Linked DNA regions of Oryzias latipes. The protein of the gene in region 2 purifies or fractionates together with the protein of the main gene of each other region. This does not show direct contact. Links are inferred from orthologs where the notes say so. Each region holds a gene or a part of one and is shown on either strand. Other genes may lie near its edges.

The links.
Region 1: the proteins of wdr12 (region 2) and pes1 purify together in Homo sapiens (co-immunoprecipitation; 7 studies listed by BioGRID and IntAct, counting the BioPlex papers as one, with this or other methods). This does not show direct contact. The link is inferred for Oryzias latipes from reciprocal best matches to the Homo sapiens genes WDR12 and PES1.
Region 3: the proteins of wdr12 (region 2) and bop1 purify together in Homo sapiens (affinity purification with western blotting; 6 studies listed by BioGRID and IntAct, with this or other methods). This does not show direct contact. The link is inferred for Oryzias latipes from reciprocal best matches to the Homo sapiens genes WDR12 and BOP1.

Annotation. Positions count from the first base shown.
Region 1 is NC_019867.2:13,302,667-13,307,006, forward strand, and holds the start of pes1 (pescadillo homolog), read left to right. Parts: upstream 1-1,515; 5' UTR 1,516-1,688; coding exon 1,689-1,712; intron 1,713-1,909; coding exon 1,910-1,989; intron 1,990-2,892; coding exon 2,893-3,046; intron 3,047-3,524; coding exon 3,525-3,634; intron 3,635-3,763; coding exon 3,764-3,935; intron 3,936-4,016; coding exon 4,017-4,106; intron 4,107-4,340. Other genes in the region: p2rx2 (P2X purinoceptor 2), read right to left, coding at 1-88. UniProt on the Homo sapiens protein: Component of the PeBoW complex, which is required for maturation of 28S and 5.8S ribosomal RNAs and formation of the 60S ribosome.
Region 2 is NC_019860.2:15,361,509-15,365,228, reverse strand, and holds the end of wdr12 (ribosome biogenesis protein WDR12), read left to right. Parts: coding exon 1-62; intron 63-128; coding exon 129-174; intron 175-254; coding exon 255-340; intron 341-425; coding exon 426-566; intron 567-1,589; coding exon 1,590-1,695; intron 1,696-1,773; coding exon 1,774-1,906; intron 1,907-2,807; coding exon 2,808-2,880; intron 2,881-2,963; coding exon 2,964-3,041; 3' UTR 3,042-3,212; downstream 3,213-3,720.
Region 3 is NC_019869.2:4,823,165-4,827,497, reverse strand, and holds the start of bop1 (ribosome biogenesis protein BOP1), read left to right. Parts: upstream 1-1,523; 5' UTR 1,524-1,611; coding exon 1,612-1,695; intron 1,696-2,088; coding exon 2,089-2,289; intron 2,290-2,363; coding exon 2,364-2,459; intron 2,460-2,830; coding exon 2,831-2,985; intron 2,986-3,061; coding exon 3,062-3,179; intron 3,180-4,333. UniProt on the Homo sapiens protein: Component of the PeBoW complex, which is required for maturation of 28S and 5.8S ribosomal RNAs and formation of the 60S ribosome.

The DNA.
Region 1 (4,340 bases), on a different chromosome or scaffold from region 2:
TGGGGGTTTCGTAGTCCCAAAAACCACTGAAGCACTCCTTTAAAAAGTCATATAGCCCCATGATGACTTTATGAAATGCTGTACTCATATCCAAATCAGTGCTTGAGTCTTTTTATCAACAGAACTTTATCTTGTTACAACATTTCTTCTTCTCCCTGTCTGAGGCTGCTCTGCTCTTGTCTGCATTTTGCTGAAGCATCCCTGACATATGTGAGGGGTCCAATAGACAAGGGGTGGGGCTTAGATTTACAGTACAGACCAAATGTTTGGACACACTTTCTCATTCAAAGAGTTTTCTTTATTTTCATGACTATGAAAATTGTAGATTCACACTGAAGGCATCAAAACTGTGAATTAACATATGTGGAATTATATACATAACAAGAAAGTGTAAAACAACTGAAAATATGTCATATTCTAGGTTCTTCATAGTAGCCACCTTTTGATTTGATAACTACTTTGCACACTCTTGGTATTCTCTTGATGAGCGTCAAAAGGTAGTTTACCTGAAATGTTTTTCACTTCACAGGTGTGCCCTGTCAGGTTTAAAAAGTGTGATTTCTTGCCTTATAAATGGGGTTGGGACCATCAGTTGTGTTGTGCAGAAGTCAGGTGGATACACAGCTGTTCGTCCCACTGAATAGACTGAATTTGTTTTAGTGCTAGAAAAAAGCAGCTAAGTACAGAAAAATGAGTGGCCATCATTACTTTAAGAAATGAAGGTCAGTCAGTCCGAAAAATTGGGAAAACTTTGAAAGTGTCCCCAAGTGCAGTCAGAAAAACCATCAAGTGCTACAAAGAAACTGGCTTACATGTGGAGCGCCCCAGGAAAGGAAGACCATGAGTCACCTCTGCTGTAGAGGATGAGTTCATCCGAGTCACCAGCCTCAGAAATGGCAGGTTAACAGCAGCTCAGATTAGAGAGCAGGTCAATGGCACACAGAGTTCTAGCAGCAGACACATCTCTACAACAACTGTTAAGAGGAGACTTTGTGAATCAGGTCTTCATGGTAGAATATCTGCTAGGAAACCACTGCTAAAGAAAGGCAACAAGCAGAAGAAACTTGTTTAGGCTTAAGAACACAAGGAACGGACATTAGACCAGTGGAAATGTGTGCTTTGGTCTGATGAGTCCAAATTTGAGATTTTTGGTTCTACATGCCTGCTCCCACTGTAAAGCATGGAGGAGGAGGTGTGATGGTGTGGGATGCTTTGCTTGTGACAATGTTGGGGATCAAGAAAGAAAAAGGGCCAACATGTCTGTCTGTCTGTCTGTCTGTCTGTCTGTCTGTCTGTCTGTCTGTCTGTATCTATATCTATATCTATATATATATATAGATATAGATATATATAACAACCTGTAGGATAATATTGTTTTATGCAGCAGTCCACCATTTAACTAAACAGTGCATTCAAACATTGTTATTAATGTTATTTTTTTGTTATTGCTTTTTTTAGTAGCTCGCTCATCTACCGCAGCTTAATAAGACTATTGCGAGCAGGCAGATGAGCGGTCGACTGTGGGTCCTCGTGTCCGCTAAACCCAATCTGATTCTCTTGCGCATGTCAAACAACACGTGCATTTACAGCAAAACATGGTGGTCGTGTTCAGATTTTAACTACCTGACAACATATTTAGTTAAAAACGGTTTGTTTGGCTTTATTTCAGATAAACTAATTTCTTAAGTATGGGCGGCACTCAAAAGAAAAAGGTAAATGCTGGCGTTTTGTTTGAACTCAGTAACAGTTTCCATGCTACGTACGTAGCTAGCTAAACTAGCTTAAGTTTGTTCTAAGTGGTTCATTATGTTGGGCAAACGTTTACACGTGAATGTGAACAGTCAAAATTACATTTAATGCAGTTTACGGAAATTGTTACTGGAAATTTTTAAAACCGTTTTCTTTGCAGTTTGAGAGGGGCTCTGCCACCAACTACATTACACGAAATAGAGCTCGGAAGAAGCTACAGTTGAGCCTACCAGACTTCAGGTACCACACAGCTCAAGTTTTTTTCTTTTTCTTTTTTTTGTAAATAATACCTTTTTTTTTTTTTTTTTTTTTACCACTGATTTGGATGTTTTTTTTAACACGAGGTATTTGTTAAATTATTTTTGAACTGCAACTGAACTGGAGTGTGTGATTTTATGGTTTAATTTTCAGAGATTGTTATTAATGTACCAGCCCCTTTGTGTCTGCACATAACTTTGTGGTTAAGCATAGTTATAATAAAGGTTAACCTATTTGGAGCAGTTTCTTAAAGTATACACTACAGTGTAAAAAAAAAAGAACATGAAAACGTTGCAAATCATAAATGTTGGCAAACATTTATTTACTGTCCTTAAACATTTAACAGTTTGACATTCAGTAAATATAAATACTTGACATTACTTGCTACATTATTCAAACATGTAGTTGTAGAGTTGGATAAGTTAATTCTACCTTAACAGTCCTGGTACATCACCTGTCTGTCCTGGGAGAGGATCCCTTCTTCATCATGTGGACACAGCGGAGACTGTTTCCCCCGGAATCTGTTATTTATTTATCTATTTTTAATAACGTTTTGCTTACCGAGAAGTAGGGTCTAAGGGCAGGGGTGCCCAGTTTAGCTTAGTCTGTTTAGTTAAGTTTAGCAATGACCTACTGTATTTAATGACTGATTTAATGTTAGCCCAATAAGACAACTATTATTGTATTATTGGGCTATACAAAAAACATGCGACCAACAACAACCTTTAGCCTTTAATGCAATTAAAATATGTGCGGGCAGTGCAGCAATGTGCGTCTCGTATTGTGTGTGGCCAACATGATTTTCCATCAGATTTAGTCAGACTGCGATACACACTCATGTCATTTTTTTGTATCTCTGATGACTTGCTTTACTTTTTGTTTTAGACGACTCTGCATTCTTAAAGGCATCTATCCTCATGAGCCGAAGCACAAGAAGAAGGTCAACAAGGGCTCCACTGCCCCCAGGACCTTTTATCTGCTTAAAGATATTCGTTTTCTGCTGCATGAGCCCATAGTTGCCAAGTTCAGAGAATACAAGGTATTTCAAAATGTGTAAATGTTTTTTATTATTTTTTTATTACTTACATGCATAGAGAGAGCACAGTGTCGATTCCCTTTCTCTTCAAAGTGTGAATTAAAGAGCTTGTTGATACAAAAATACATTGCAGAAAATTTGTTAAAATAGAAATGATCACCAAAAAGTGACTAAGTTTGAAATGCATAACTTGTAGTTGATCTTTAATATGTAAAAAACTTTTTGTTTTTGCATTTTTTGCATTACCTGCAATGAAAAGTGAGGATTTAAGAGATCCATTCCTTCTCTGCAGTATAGACTTAAGTGTGCATACTTAATGTGCATGCTCACACATGGATTTGGATTTAAGGACTGGAAAATGTAAACAATATAAGGTTTTAATATATTATCAAACAACTTTATTTATTTTGGTAATAATCTTTTTGGATACTATACAGTCGAAGTGTAAGTTAGCCTAAAAATTTGTTCTTTGTTTTAATAGATATTTGTACGGAAACTGAGAAAGGCTTATGGAAAAACGGAGTGGTCTGCAGTTGAAAGACTGAAAGAAAACAAGCCAACCTATAAATTGGACCACATCATTAAAGAGAGGTGAGACTGACTTAAAAAGTGGGGCATAAGTAGATTTTTCTGTTAAATGAACCCATTGTTCTGTGTTTTTCTAGTTTTTAAATGTAAGACAGATAAACCTACCTCTAAGTCAATTGCTTTCTGTTGTAGATACCCCTCCTTCATCGATGCCCTCCGTGATATCGACGACGCCCTTTGCATGTGCTTCCTCTTCTCCACATTTGCCAGAACGGGAAAATGTCACGTCCAAACAATCCAGCTCTGCAGACGCCTCACTGTGGAGTGGATGAACTATGTGATTGCATCACGCTCTCTCAGAAAGGTGCAGCTTTACTGAACTCTTTCACAGAAAAAAATTACAGTTCTGTGTTTTCTGACATACAACCCACTCTGTTCCCGTTAGGTTTTCGTCTCCATCAAGGGAATGTACTATCAGGCTGAGGTGATGGGACAGCTCATCACATGGCTGGTGCCCTATCAGTTCTCCCATGATGTAAGTCAAATTGATGAAATGAGGTTCATAAGGAATATACCAATAAGCAGTGACAGCAAAATCAACAATGTTCTAACTAAACACAGAAAGTCCCCAGTTAATTAGTAAAGCTGTTTACATAGTTTCCAAAGTCTGACATCATCTTTTTATATTTACTTTTAAATACCATCTAAGTCATTTAGGAACCAAAACATTTTAATTAAAGGTGATTAATTTCCAGTTGAGGTGCAGACG
Region 2 (3,720 bases):
ACTGTTGTAGAGGACACACGGGCAGCGTGGACACCGTTTCCACAGACCCCACTGGCTCAAAGGTAAAACCCATTAAAGCCAGAAAATAAAGAAATAACAAGTCCCTGATTTTTGGTTGTCTCCTTTAGTTCTGCAGTGGCTCCTGGGATAAAATGCTAAAAATCTGGTCTGCAGGTAAGAAAAGAATCAAAAAATCAAGAATGTTGACACCAAAAAGCCTTAAGTCATCTGTAAGTTTTCCTCCCTGTTGCCAGTGCCCACAGATGAGGCAGATGAGGTAGAGGAGGCCGCAGACAGACCAAGGAAGAAACAGAAGACCCAGCAGCTCGGTCTGACCAGGGTGAGCTCCCAGCTGGAAGAGGAGAGGGAAAACGAATTAGATTTGTTACGTCCACTGGAGCGTCATTTTGATACTATCTTGACAGACGCCCCTCATGACGTTATCCGGACACAACGAAGCGGTGTCCTCCGTCTTGTGGAGTGATGCGGAGGAGGTCTGCAGTGCATCGTGGGATCACACCATACGAGTGTGGGACGTGGAGGCTGGAGCGATGAAGACCACGCTGGTGAGACAAATTCTTTTCCTGTTTTTTTTTTTAACTTTTCCTTAATTTAGCTTGACTTAAAAAAAAGTAACTGGTCATTTTTTTAAAATCTTTATTTTTTTATTGTAAACGATAAATGTTTGAAGATGCATCTTAATAATTGAAGGAAAAATCTGCTTTTCTCTACATCAAGCAAACAAAAGTTTCAATAAGAAGAACAAATACTCTCAAAACTTGCAAAATAATTTCATCCCACTCTAATCAGCTTTTGATTCTATTTTCAAAAGTGGGCTTTTAATTATGATTATGTTTAACGACATCGTTTCTGCAGGGCGGCAGCAGTTCGTGTAAAAAAAAAAATACATCTGAGTTGTGTGCAGGTGGTAAACAAAGACGTACAGAAATGTAATTTTAAGCTTAATTTTCTGTAAATATGTCCTCCATGGTGAGAAAAAGGCCACAGGAATGAGTGATAAAAACCAGTTTTCATCAGTGTGTGTGTCTGTAAAGAGGAACATTTTAAAAAATCCATATTTAAAGGGAAAATATTTACAGCACTAATACTAATCCGTAACCAAACACTTACACAGACAAGACAGAAAAATCTCCTTTTTAGCCACATTTGCACTGCTGCAGTCAAACCTTCTCTTCATAAATGTCAAAGTTTCTTATGGTCAAATAGATTTGCTGTATTTTATAGTTTCGAATTTGGCTTTTCAAAATAAAAGTATTAATAAGGACTGACTCTAGATGGCATCTCTTATTTATTCTTAAGTCTAAAGGGATTTCTTTTGTCAGCCTAGCATCAGGATTTAAAAACTAATCTGTGATCTCATTTTAAGGTATGCTGGTCGTATAGTATATAGCTTTAGTCAGTATTTGATCATCCGAACACTGTGGTTGCTGAAAAGCAGCATTCTAGCTGTAGATTTGGTGCGATGGACCGGTTTTAGAGAATAATCTGTCCTCCTGATCTTCAGAGGAACAAAACAAGCACCTCCCAGCTGGTATTTCTTCAGGATCTGCCATGTTTTGTCTCCTCAGACGGGCAGTAAAGTGTTCAACTGCATCTCCTACTCTCCTCTGTGTCGACGGCTCGCCTCTGGGAGCACAGACAGACACATCCGCCTCTGGGATCCACGGACCAAAGGTGCCGCTGTGCTGACATCAAAAATACACCCCAAAAATGATGTATTAACCTATTTCTGTTGTCACTTTTGTTTGTCAGATGGAGCTTTGGTGTTGCTGTCTCTAACGTCCCACACCGGCTGGGTCACTGCTGTCAAATGGGCTCCGACACACGAGCACCAGCTTGTCTCCGGTTCCCTTGACAACCTGGTCAAACTTTGGGACATCAGAAGGTCTGTGAAAATTGCTTTTCGCATATTTTGGCACTAGTTAAGGCATATTTTATTTATTTATTTTACAGATGCAAAATTACCCTCATTTGGTGCGTTTAGTGAAAATTTGTGCAGAAGCTCATTGAATTGACTGTGAATCATGTGAAGAAAGAACATGTCACCTACTGCCTGTTTGACCAAGCTTGTTACCATAGTTACGTGAATGCTTCGGATGGAAAAAAGAAAAAAAAATGTGCTTGTGTTTGTCAAAAATTCAGAGTCCAGAGGATTTATTGATGACTGTGATACAGATATTCTGTAATGGACAACAAAGGTTAAATAATTATCATCGTTCCATCTGTTTTCATGTTTTTCAGGATTTACTATCATAAAACTGGCTTATATATATTTTTGTTGGATCCAGAATTTCACTTCACCTCATATTAAAGTTCTTTGTAGCAATTTTTATACCAGATGAGGGACAAATAAAGTGTAATGCTAAAGTGCGAGCTCCACCTAATGGCCAAACGGAAACGCCCTGCAGGAAAGGCAGCACATTTATCTTTGTAATATGAGCCGGTTTAGAGCCTTTACAGTGTTAGTGATCTCCACATTTTTGTTGGAGCTTCTCTGTTTGAGAAACTATGAAACACTGCATGGTGTTAACAAGCTCATTGGTTTATTATCTCATTAAAACATTTTACATAATGTTAGCTTTATTAGATTAATATGACTATCTTCAAAACCAATAGAATACTTGTGTTTTTTATAAAAATGTCTCCAAATGTGTAAACCGTGTAAATTCCAAATTGATCCAATCAAGTGGACAATACAGAAACTTGATCCAGGCTCTGTTGAATTGAATCTATGCTGGAAACTATTGGTGATACCCAGCCCTATCACTCACGTTGTCTCTCTTTAGCTGTAAGGCTCCCTTGTATGACCTGGCGGCCCATGAGGACAAAGTGTTCTGTGTGGATTGGACGGAAAGTGGGGTGAGACAAATTCTTATGTACTCCAGACTCCCATGACAAGACTTCAGAGTTGACTTATCTTGACTCTGCTTTTTGTTTTTTAGCTAATGTTAAGCGGCGGGGCGGACAACAAGCTTTACAGTTACAAATACTCTCCGTGTCGAACAGACGCCGGAGCGTAGAAACCTCCCATCCCAACAGTGCCAACATGGAAGTACTGCAAAAAAATTATAGTTTACCTAATTTTTTTTCTCTCTCTGCCATTGTTATTTTTTTAGTCTTATCAGTTCTCTGACATATTTTTGTTTGTTTTTCTCCTGTATACAATAGAGTATAAATTAATTTTTGCTCAAGTGTTGTCTCTGGTGTGTCATTCAGGCAAACTTGTTCTTATGGATTTAAAAAATATATAAATATATATTTATACCATGGTCCGGGTGAATACTCGATTCGGATTGGCTGCTGGGTGTGGATTAAAAAGTGATAATTCACAGTGATGATGCACACCTAAAAATTTCCGGTCAAATAGCTTGTGGTGAAACCCAGCGTTGATCGATTGACCAAGACACACGTGTGCTCAGTTGGATTCAGGTCTGGGGTCCATTTCATCAATACTTTTGTCTAGCAGAAACTGCTGACACACTCCAGGCACATGAGGTCTAGCATTGAAAAGCCACCCCAAACCGTTACCGACCCACTGCCAAACTGGTCATGTTGGTTGATGCTGCTGGCAGCGGAACGTTCTCCACGGCGACTCCAGACTCTGTCACGTCTGTCACATGTGTTGAGTGTGAACCTGCTTATATCTGTGAAGAGCACAGGGCGCCAGTGGCTAATTTCCCAACCTTGATGTTCTCTACC
Region 3 (4,333 bases), on a different chromosome or scaffold from region 2:
CAATAAAGTTTGTTTTTCCTAATCAAACAATTTATTTGGTGGTTATGATTTAAAACTTTGAGTTTTTTAAAGTATAAACAAAAAAAGTTAATAAATAATTACTGAGGCTAAATTTAATTGCTGCCATACTATGGATGGATGGATGGATGGATGGATGGATGGATGGATGGATGGATGGATGGATGGATGGATGGATGGATGGATGGATGGATGGATGGATGGAAACTGTGTTTTCTCACTCCTAGGCAGTTGCAACCATTGAGTTATATCACTAGAGGAGACATCACGTGGTTCCTCATGGGAGGAGAGCACCGCCATCTTGGTGAGGTCAAGTCACTGCTGCAGTGCATGCATGTGAACACATTTTTTGCATAATGCCAGTTCATTGTGCGGATTTCAACTGCCAAAATCAGATAAATGAGTCCATGAAGGAGGTAGGTGTATCATTTCACAGGTAAGTATTTTATTTTTTTTTATTTTAAGGCTGCAGGGGCTTCATTAATAGAACGTATGTTGACATGCATGATGCTGCAGGGCTGTTATCAACATGCTGCATGATGTACATTTATTTTGCTGTCAATATAAATGTAGATTTTATTTTGCTAAACCTGTATACAGCATACTAGGCTATTATAGTAATATAGATTTAAACATTTCTGACTCAGTGACTGAACTTTTCTTGCAGGATTCCAATGGATTCAGACTGAAGGAAAAAGTGGGACTTAGCTATAAAAAGAGTTAACCCAGATGGATCACTGTGGTACCAACTAGTAATACAGTCTGACTGTTCAAAACATTTGTGGAAACAGATTTTGATAAGAGGCCAGACTGTTTTTTTAGGGTAAATCTATTGTCCTATTGTCTATATTATTTTGAATATTATTATTATTATTATTATTATTATTATTATTATTATTATTATTATTATTATTATTATTATTATTATTATTATTAATAATAATAATAATAGTAATAATAATAATAATATAATTATTTTTATTATTCTTTATTGACTTGTTATTTATTTATTGTTATTTATTGTTTGTATTGACTTACTATTGATTTTTTTATTTGTAAGAAGTCCTGCAACAATGCATTTTCATTCAAGTTTGAGCTTTTAAGGCTGACTGTTTCTCTTCTTTAACATCAACAAATGATGTATCTATATATATATATATATATATATATATATATATATATATATATATATATATATATATATATATTATATACATAAAATATAATATATTTATATATATATGTATAAATATATTTAAATCTAAAAATATATACAGTTTATAAAAGCTACTTAGACACCACTAAAATCAATAGAAATCAATGTCATGTGGGCGTCGTCGACCTCACCAAGATGGCGTCGCGCTCCGCCACCGACGGCCAGGCTTCTAAAGCGGGCGTGTCTCCTCTAGTGATATAACTCATTGGTTGCAACGAACAATATTATTGTTCAGCCGGACGTGCAGTGAAGACATCTGACCGATAGGGGGCGGAGGCTGCCTTCGTGTCTTCTCGTTTTTCTCGGCCAGCATAACCTCTGACCCCGCGGGTTTTCCACGTGGGTCCGCGAAGCAGGAGCTGGAAAACGTGCAGAGCATGGAACAGAGATCAGAAATGAAGAAAGTCAGGGAGAAAACGAAGAGGAAGACGAAGGAAGTGGAGGAAGAAGAGCAAGATGAAGTGAGAAACGCAATCTAACTGTTAGAGGGAAAAAGCGGGAAATTACTCTGTGAATTAGCTAGGACTTGCTTGTTAGCGGCTAGCATGCTAATAAATAAGCAAAATCAAAACAGGCTGGAGCTTTTAAAAACGTTGACATTGCTGATAACAAATTTTCCCAACCGAACTGTTAAGCGGTGAAAATATCATATAGTTTGTTTATAAACAGACTTATAGGAATACAATATAAAAACCGCATGATTTATTTTTAAATGTATGTTTTCTGAATAGAGTTCAGTGAGAGCATCATAGAATTTGGAATTTCTTTACATACAATGAATCAGGATGCTAATATTAGCCAAACATCTATGGGGAATTGAACCATAAACAGTGATTGTGTGTGTTTGTCTTCAGCTTTTTGATATCAACAACAAAGCTACTGAGAAAGATGAAGACGACGATGACCTGTCAGACAGTGAGGACAGTCAATTTTCTGGACTGGAGGATTCCGGGAGCGACTCTGAGGATGAAGAGTCAGACGTTGAAGAGAAAAGTTCCGATGATGTGGAGGAAGCTGATGGATCAAATGATGATCCGGATAAACAGAGGCAGCAGGTGAGGTTTGCTGCTGTGGACTTACTGCGACCGGATATTATTATGGTTCTTCTGAAAATCTGTCGCATTTGCAGACAAAAGTGAAGAACAACAAAAACAAGAAAGGAGCAACTGAAGGAAAACAAGAGAAGAAAGGAGATGAGTATGAGCATGACACCTCGGATGAGGAGGTAGGAGTAGCGGCATCTGGGATTCTTTAGTGATCTCCTCGGATTGTCACTTTTATTCGCTTTTTATTTTTCTAGTAATTTCCTGTACGTCCTCAGCTTCTTGCATGTAGATGTTTGATCACCCTTTTTTATTTTATTGGTTATTTTAGAACAAAGTTTGTCTGTTTTTTTCTTGTCACTTGCCCTCTGATCTGGACCTACCTTACTTTACACAGTCTATTATTGTATAATTCTATATGCATGTTTGTGTTTTACCTTATTTGTTTTGCAAACCACCTTTTTTCTTTAAATACCTCTGTCCTGTTTCCTTGCTTGAACTCTTCTGTTGGATTCTAAAAGGTTCTCATGTGCTGGTTCTGATTCTTCTGCAGGACATCAGGAACACAGTGGGCAACATTCCCATGGAATGGTACAAAGACTTCCCTCACATTGGCTACGATCTAGATGGAAAGAAGATTTTCAAGCCAATCAGGAACAAGGATGAGCTGGACGAATTCTTGGATAAAATGGAAAATCCTGACTACTGGTCAGCTAGCCAGCGCATTTCCGCGTCCTCTACAGTTTCAAACAGGAAACGCTAACGGTTTTGGTTGTGCGTGCAGGAGGACAGTTCACGACAAGCAGACGGGAAGAGACATTGTGCTGTCAGACGAGCAGGTGGATCTGGTCAACCGACTGCAGAGAGGGCAGTTTGGAGACATCAACTTCAATGAGTACCAGGTATGCTCAGGGAGGCTTTGCATCCTTATTTTTGGCTTTTTTTGTGGTATTTTCAGAGGAATCTGTATTTATGAGCCTAAGTACAAATGCTCCTACCTGAAACCTATCTTTTTTTTTCAGGAAACAAGAAAAATGTGTTTCAAATATTCCAGCCGATGGTGATGTGAGGTTTTTGTCTTGTGACTTTCGGGTCATAAGACTTTTTTGCAGATTCACTTAAAATGTGAATTTGTCCTTGTTCTCAGCATTTAATGCTAAAAACTCAAAATCTAACAATTTGCAGATAGGAGATATTGTATTTTGGTCATCGATGTGCAATCTGGAAAAATTTACAAAGCAGACAGACTAACAGTTAAGCTTAGTTTCCAGAGATTCATATGAAATTTCTGACATCTTTTTGACAAACGTCTGTTTTTAGTCGCAAGCTGCACACATTTTGAAATTAAACGAAATTCCAGAGTGCCTCTGATTAAAAACAGTGGGAGAAAATACTATATTGGGGTGGAAAAAGTGACTGCAGGGAACACGGTAGCGACAAAGTGGCGTCAAAAGAGTGAACGAAAAAAACGAAACTATCTAAGATATGTCACAACATAACAAATTAAAAAGACAAAAAATATGCAAAAAACTACAAAGTAAACAAGCAATAACTCAAATTTGACCACATGTCCCACAGCCTTTGAAGAACCAGAGGGAAGATAGTGTCTAAAATGACCTATCAGCTGAAGTTTTAGGTTATTGTGACATAAAGCTGGTTAACCATTGTACCTGTTCCATATGTACTGACGGAGAAATACGTTTTGTCTTCTGTTCAGACAAGATTGACATCATCTATTTTAACCGTTTATATATTTATGTACGTGAAAATATATATGTATATACTATTATATATATTCATACCTCTGTATGCATATATAAACAGTAATCATTATCATAGAGGCAACATTTAGTCTTTACTAAAAGAAAAAAATGTTTTTTTTCTTCCAAATGTCAAATCAAGAGCAGCTTAAAGTGAACGAAAAATCCAAATTATAAATTCGGAAATAGTTTTAAACTCCTCAACGTATGCTGTAAACGTGAAATAAATATTGAACATTTGAAAAACGGTGAGCTTGAAAAATATATAGTTTATATTTAAAGAAATACTCTAAACT